2 linked regions of the Macaca fascicularis genome follow. The protein of the gene in region 1 interacts with the protein of each later gene in a pairwise test. Links are inferred from orthologs where the notes say so. Each region holds a gene or a part of one and is shown on either strand. Other genes may lie near its edges.

Region 1 (3,644 bases):
GGCTCAAGCCTGTAATCCCAGCACTTTGGGAGGCCGAGGCAGGCGGATCACGAGGTCAGGAGATCAAGACCATCCTGGGTAACACGGTGAAACCCCATCTCCACTAAAAAATACAAAAAACTAGCCGGGCGAGGTGGCGGGCGCCTGTAGTCCCAGCTACACAGGAGGCTGAGGCAGGAGAATGGCGTAAACCCGGGAGGTGGAGCTTGCAGTGAGCTGAGATTGTGCCACTGCACTCCAGCCCGGGCGACAGAGTGAGACTCCGTCTCAAAAAAGAAAAAAGAAAATGCCAGGGCAGGCGAACCAGCATCAGAAGATGGCTAAGGAAGGAGTGGGGCCTATCCTGTTCACTTCCACACTTTGTAACTTTGGGTCTACTTTGGTTTTTATGATAAAGCAGGGATAGAAGAGAAAATAACTTAAAATTCTGAAAAACTTAAAGCGGAGAAACAGTGACATTTAATGACTACTACATGTGAAAAATTGGTACTCTTCCTGGATTTTGCCGAACTTTTTTCTCCCAAATTAGTATATTCTAGTCATGCCTAACTATGGTGTTCTATGTCTAGATGAACAAGAGAACTGGGCAACCCATGATCCACATCTACCTGGACAAGGAAACAGGAAAGCCCAAAGGCGATGCCACAGTGTCCTATGAAGACCCACCTACGGCCAAGGCTGCCGTGGAATGGTTTGACGGTAAGATGTACTCACTGGCATTCTTAATCTCCCTGGCTATAGAGTATGGCAGGAGGGAGGAACTTGTGAACCACGGGAGCAAGAAGACCTTCCATCCCTTTCTGGGGGAAGTAGATTGCTGATCTCCCTTCAGTAGTATTAGGACCCAGCCATTGACCCTGGATTTGGAGATCCCTTTATTTTCAGGCTTTAGTATTACAAATCAACCTTGTTTAAAAGTGGCAAACACTTCTCTAAGCGCAGATTATCAGAAGGTACAGAAAACCCTTCAAAAGAACATCTTAGCCAGTGTACATTTGCATATAGATAAATATATATATTTAAATAAGGCCTTGACATTAATGCTGGGATTTCACTTCAGACAAAACCAACTTGAAAGCATTGAACGACTTGGCCAGGTCCAGTGGCTCACACCTGTAATCCCAGCACTTTGGGAGGCCAATGTAGGTGCATCGCTTGAATCCAGGGGCTTGAGACCAGCCTGGGGAACATGGCACAACCCTGTCTCTACAAAAAATACAAAAATTAGGCCAGGCGCGGTGGCTCAAGCCTGTAATCCCAGCACTTTGGGAGGCCGAGGCGGGTGGATCACGAGGTCAGGAGATCGAGACTATCCTGGCTAACATGGTGAAACCCCGTCTCTACTAAAAATACAAAAAAAAAAACCTAGCCGGGCGTGGTGGCGGGTGCCTGTAGTCTCAGCTACTTGGGAGGCTGAGGCGGGAGAATGGCGTGAACCCGGGAGGCAGAGCTTGCAGTGAGCCGAGATCACGCCACTGCACTCCAGCCTGGGAGACACAGCGAGACTCCGTCTCAAAAAAAAAAAAAAAAAAAAAAACAAAAATTAGCCAGGTGTTGTAGCGCACTCCTATACCTATAGTCCCAGCTACTCAGGAGGCTGAGGTGGGAGGATCACTTGAGCCCGGGGAGTTTGAAGCTGCAGTGAACTGAGATTGCACCACTGCACTCCAGCCTGGACAACAGCGAGACTCTGTCTCAAAGAAAGCGTCAAATAACAAGTCCTGGTTCTCTTTTCTTCGCCATACAGTCAGCTTCCCACCAGCTTATTTTCCTCCTTCTGGTAGACAGTATTTTTTTGCTTGTGTTTTTGATTTTTTGAGCCAGTTCACTTTGTCACCCGGGCTGAAGTGCAGTGGCACAAGCAGTCTCAGCTTACTGCAACCTCCGCCTCCCAGGTTCAGGTGAATCTTGTGTGTCAGCCACTTGAGTAGCTGCTGGACTCTACAGGTGCATGTCACCCTGCCCAGCTAACTTTTGTATTTTTTAGTAGAGATGGAGTTTCGCCATGTTGGCCAGGCTGCAGAGAGGTTTTTAAGTATATTTAAGTGTATGGCCTTTTTCTGGCCAGGCACGATGGCTCTTGCCTATAATCCTACCACTTTAGGAGGCCAAGGCAGGAGGATTGCTTGAACCAAGGAGTTCATGACCAGCCTGGGCAACCTAGCAAGAGACTGCCTCTACAAAACATTTTGTAAAATTAGCCAGGCATGGTGATGCGTGCCTGTAGTCCTAGCTACTTTGGAGGATTGCTTGAGCCTGTGAGATTGAAGCTGCAGTGAGCCTTGCCACTGCACTCCAGCCTAGGCAACAGAGTGAGACCCCCATCTCAAAAAAGCCTTTTTCTGGCCTTGTCAGTAAAGATCTTAGAGAAGATTACAGGAGGGGCAGACCTAATGCATCTGGGAGTGGTCATTTGATGATGTCGTTTAGTTGGTGAACAGGGAATATAGGGGAGTAATTGATGTTCTGTTGTCTTATTCCAGGGAAAGATTTTCAAGGGAGCAAACTTAAAGTCTCTCTTGCTCGGAAGAAGCCTCCAATGAACAGTATGAGGGGGGGTATGCCACCCCGTGAGGGCAGAGGGATGCCACCACCACTCCGCGGAGGTACTTTCTTTGATCTCCTATGTTGCATTAAAAGGTTTTCAATATACTCCCTACCCTTGAGAAACTTGATTACTAGAGTGAAGAAATACAAAATTGTGTGTAGAGTCAATACTTTGAACGTTTGTGGGTGTAAAAGGAAGAGGAGAAGAACACGGGAGGCTGGAAGCCACACTGCCTCTCACCTCCAGACTGCCATTTATTAGGCTTTGGTTGTGTCTGTATAGATTTGCCTGCTCCTTATATATTGTGGGAGTTTGGCCGCGTGTGGTGGCTCATGCCTGTAATTCCACCGCTTTGGGAGGCCGAGGCGGGCGGATTGCCTGAGGTCAGGAGTTTGACACCAGCCTGGCCAACATGGTGAAACTCTACTAAAAATACAAAAATTAGCCAGGCATGTTGGTGCATGCCTGTAATCCCAGCTACTTGGGAGACTGAGGCAGGAGAATTGCTTGAATCTGGGAGGTGGAGGTTGCAGTGAGCCAAGATCTTGTTTCACTGCATTCCAGCCCAGGCAACAGAGCAAGACTCCATCTCAAAAAAAAAAGGCCGGGCACAGTGGCTCATGCCTGTAATCCCAGCACTTTGGGAGGCGGATCACAAGGTCAGGAGATCGAGACCATCCTGGCTGACACAGTGAAATCCCATCTCTATTAAAAATAGAAAAATTAGCCGGGCGTGATGGCGGACACCTGTAGTCCCAGCTACTCGGGAGGCTGAGGCAGGAGAACAGCGTGAACCTGGGAGACGGAGCTTGCAGTGAGCTGAGATCGTGCCACTGTACTCCAGCCTGGGTGACAGAGCCAGACTCTGTCTAAAAAAAAAAAAAAAAAAAAGAATTGGAGCTCTGTTTCCTGTAGAGCACGTGGAACACGCTCATCACAGGGAAGGGGCTGATGCCTGAGCCACTCGGAAACATATGGGACGGGTGATGGGGAAATGACAACAGTGATATCTGTGGGTTTACTTAGTGATTTTTATTTCCCATAGCAAATCTGGTGCTACAGAGAAATGATCTGCTATTTCTTGTTGTAGGTCCAG
Region 2 (4,338 bases), on another chromosome or scaffold:
AGACTCTGGGCTTAGATATTTTAAGTTCCTCTGTTGCCCCTTTTTCAGTGTGAGAATTGTGTTTGCTGTGGAATACATCCAGGGATGTCTTCCTTTAAATAAGTTCACAGTTTTAAATGGCCACCCCCTGACTCACTAATGCCTTACACAAAGCAAGATGCAAGTGCACCACATGCTTTTAGGATATTTTTATATGTTAAAAAAATGTATATTGGCCGGGCGCAGTGGCTCACGTCTGTAATCCCAGCACTTTGGGAGGCCGAGGCAGGCGGATCACAAGGTCAAGAGATCGAGACCATCCTGGCCAACATGGTGAAACCTCGTCTCTAAATTAGCTGGGCAACGTAGAGCGCGCCTGTAGTCCCAGCTACTTGGGAGGCTGAGGCAGGAGAATCGTTTGAACCCGGGAAGCGGAGGTTGCAGTGAGCTGAGATAGCGCCGCGCCACTGCACTCCAGCCTGGCAACAGAGCGAGACTCCGTCTAAAAAAATACATATATTGCATATATGTGTCTATTTTGCACACCATATAATTGTCACGACATCTTTATTGCTAGTTAGTAGGTTCCTTGACTGGGGTCATGTCATCTGTGCCTGACACAGGAGGTAATGTTTATTCAGAAATGAAGATCGCGGCTGGGCGCGGTGGCTCACGCCTGTAATACCAGCACTTTGGGAGGCCGAAGAGGGCGGATCGCTTGAGACTAGCAAGGTGAGACCCCATCTCTACTAAAAACACAAAAATCAGCGGGTGTGGTGACACACGCCTGTAGTCCCAGCTACTAGGAGGCTAAGATGGGAGGATAGCTTGAGACCACCAGGCAGAGGTTGCAGTGAGCCGAGATCGCGCCACTGCATTCCAGTCTGGGTGACAGATGCCTCGTCTCAAAAACCACAAAAAAGAACATAGGAGAAGAGGCATTGATGAGGAAAACTCAGCAAAGACAGCAAATATCAATTTGTTAAGCTATTTGCAAAGGTTTTCTCTTTCCTGTATTAATCTTTTCCCTCTCCCCACTTTTGGCCCGAGGATCTGAATCGTTCGGTCAGGCAGAAATCAGACCGCGTCCATACCCAGCCTCCTTCGAGGCCTAGCTGTAAAAACCGCTGAGCAAAGGGAATCCAGAATCAGCCCTCAAGCAACTCAAGACAAGTTAGCAATTTCCGCCGGTATGCCGTGAACACCGGCGACCACTGGCGTTTCCTCTGAGTCCTCGGAACTCCGGAAACTCTGGGAGCTTTCAGCCCGCCCATCAGGGGAAAGCGGCCCGGGGCCGGCGCCAGGTGGAGCCCATCCCCCTGCGTCTGGCGGGCCGCAGTACCGCCAGGGGCCTGCGGGAGGCGCACGCGGCGCGGCCTGAGGGGAGGGGGAGAGCGGGCGGAGGCGGTGCGCTCGGCGCTTCCTGTTCCGGCGCCAGGAGGAGCCGCGCGCTGCTGGTGCTGTTGCCGCCGCTGCTTTCCCTGCCGTCAGTCAGGCTGCGCCCGCTTCTTCAGGGCCCAGTCCCTCGGACCCATCGCCGCTTCTAGACCCTACTGCGGTCTCGGATATTGCCGGGTGAGGCTGCTTCGGTACTAGTGGGAGTCGTGAAGGGGAATCGGGGGGCTGGGGTTGCGGAGCCCGCGGGCGCGGCCAAGCGGGAAGCGGGCGCGGTAACTGAGGTGCATCGAGTCACGTCCAGTGCTCGGGCCGTGGTCGCCTGCCTGGGACCGGGGCTAAGCGTTTCTCTCGGTCGCCTTCCTCCACGCTGCGGGCTGCCTGGGGATCGCCCCCCAGGGAGAAGGTGTAGGAGGCCGCTGACGTCGCGCCCGACGGGTTTCTGGGCGCCTGACGTCAGGCCTGGCTGCGGGGCGGGGCGGGCGCGGGCCGGCCCCTCCCCCACCCTTTCCCGGCGGGCGCGACCCGCTCGGAGGCCGGTTCGCTCCGGTTGATCCCGGACTCCCTTTGTTCGTGCGTCCCTAAAAGGCTGCCGGCCTCGCGCCTTTTGGCCCCGATTTCCCCTCTACCCCCACCCCATTGCACCCATTCATTAATTTCTAATAAAAAGGGAAAAGCCTGAAAAGATTATTACAGGAATCTCGGGCGCTTGTTAATCCGCAGTGTGACAACGCTCTGGTTATGACTCACTAGAGGAATTGCCCACGGATACGTTAGATGAATACCCAGGGCAAACCACGAGAAGGGCAGAATTTAGGGATCTCCTTTTTAGGACTGAAGAGCGCATACCTACGATAGCTTATATATAGGGGGACCGTTTTCCTCTTTACCTTGAAAAGCAAGAGTACAGCTTTTAATAGGTAAAGATTGCAGTGTTAAAGCATGAAGCCGGACTCGCTCGACCGAAAAATTTTTTTTTAGTTTTACTGCTAGAGAAATACACACCTGGGGGTTGTAAAGGTCTGTTTTGAAAAGGAACCCTCATTACAGGCAAAGGTAGCCTTCAGAAACATTTTGTAAGTTCTTTGTTCACTGGTGTTCTTTGAGGGAAGAATAGAAATTTTTCATGCTGGCATCTCTGAGCCCACAATGCAAAGCGAGTTTGCTTCAGAAACTTGGAGTGAATTGCAAATATTGGAATGTTCTTTTCCTCTCTCCAGGAGGAATGGGTAATATCCATCCCCAGTCTCTTAGCTGAAACTTTTGAAGCTAGTGTGTTTTGAATTCAAAAATACTTGGATTTTATCTTCATCTTTTTAGAAAGACGACATGTTAGACGAGAGATAACACCCCCAGCAGAATGGGGCACCGCATCATCCAACATTAATATTTGCAGCAATAGATGTGAGCATTCATTCTAAGTGGGGGCGAATAGAAACTATAAATAGCTTCAGGTCACATTTTGCCACCATGTAAGATTTGTGCCAAACTTGGGAAAGTTTATTTTTTCGGAAGTCTCTGGATTGAGAAGGGCAGATAAAGATTTATGGACCTAAAAGTAGGCATCGTAAAAGCTAATATTTGTTGAGGTTTTGCTATATTCCAGGCAGTGACTAAGAGATTTGTTTATTATATAAGTCTTAGAGCAAATCTATGATGTGCATACGATTCTGATCTCCCTTTGCCTCGAGTTTGGAGAATTGGACTTGTCAACTCTGGCCAGTCCAACCAGTGAAGAGCTGCAGTTGTAGCTGGATGGTCATACTTTAGCGTTTACTCTTTTACCTATAAGCTAGATGTCCACATACAAGGGAAAGAGAATTTGGTACCTGTTTTCCACCCAAGCACTATTTTAGGCACTTGATTGGACAGAGTCCAATTTAGTTCATCGCAGCATTACTGGTCTGGTTGTTTTTTGTTTTTTGTTTTTAACTGCGTGCTTTTTACAAACAGTATGGCCTGTTCTTTATAGTTCAGGTTCATTCAGATGAGCCGACTCTTACTGAAATAATTCAAACCCTCGTCTAAGGTCTCTCTGCTAAGACTTTCCCCTTCCCTTGCTATATTCTAACCCATCTGAACTGCTTATACCTCCTCACAGATTCTCCCAATTTTTACACCAACTGCTCTTCTTTCCCTAGGACCCATGTCACCGCCCTCTACTCCCAGCTCTTTCTTTATGGTCCTTATGGACTGCAAAAGACAGCACATCTCAGGAATCTCCATGTAATACTAAAATTTCTCTAAAGCCCAACACATTGTTTGGCACATATGTTCCAATAAATATATAACTAAATGCCAAGAAATATTGCAGGTTGCATATCCCTTATCCCAAATGCTTGGAACCAGAAGTGTTTCAGATTTTGGATTTTTTTTTTTATATTACACCAGTTGAGCATCCGAAATCCAGAATGCTCTAATGAGCATTTTCTTTGAGCGGCATGTTGGCACTCAAAAAGTTTCAGATTTTTGAGCATTTCAAAACCCCCGTTTTTGAGTTGCCCAAATGTAAAAAATGGAACATAATCAGATAAATGAGCCAATGCTGAAAACTAGCATGTATTCTAATTTATAACTTTTTATTTTTGGAGACAGTCACTCACTGCAAGTTCCGCCTCCTGGGTTCAAGCGATTCTCCTGCCTCAGCCTACCGAAGTAGCTGGGATTACAGGTGTCTGCCACCGTGCCCAGCTAATTTTTTGTATTTTTGGTTGAGATGGGGTTTCACCATGTTGGCAAGGCTGGTCTTGAACTCCTGATCTCACGTGATCCACCCCCCTGGGCCTCCCAAAGTGCCGGGATTACAGGCTTGAGACACTGTGCCCAGCCATTAATTTATATTTTCAGTATGATACATATCATCCCCTGCATACTAAACAAATCAACCCCAAAATTTTGATTTTATTTAATTTTGCCTAATAAATATCTAACATGTATATAGCACTTTATAGATTAAGTGTGTTA

Evidence for each region. The genes of interacting proteins can lie anywhere in the genome.
Region 2: the proteins of EWSR1 (region 1) and MAPK1IP1L interact in binary tests that used the Homo sapiens proteins (3 or more experiments, as listed by UniProt). The link is inferred for Macaca fascicularis from reciprocal best matches to the Homo sapiens genes EWSR1 and MAPK1IP1L.

What each region holds. Positions count from the first base shown.
Region 1 is NC_088384.1:22,374,170-22,377,813, reverse strand, and holds part of EWSR1 (RNA-binding protein EWS), read left to right. Parts: intron 1-569; coding exon 570-699; intron 700-2,483; coding exon 2,484-2,606; intron 2,607-3,638; coding exon 3,639-3,644. UniProt on the Homo sapiens protein: Binds to ssRNA containing the consensus sequence 5'-AGGUAA-3'. Might normally function as a transcriptional repressor. EWS-fusion-proteins (EFPS) may play a role in the tumorigenic process.
Region 2 is NC_088381.1:122,906,747-122,911,084, forward strand, and holds the start of MAPK1IP1L (MAPK-interacting and spindle-stabilizing protein-like), read left to right. Parts: upstream 1-1,397; 5' UTR 1,398-1,554; intron 1,555-4,338.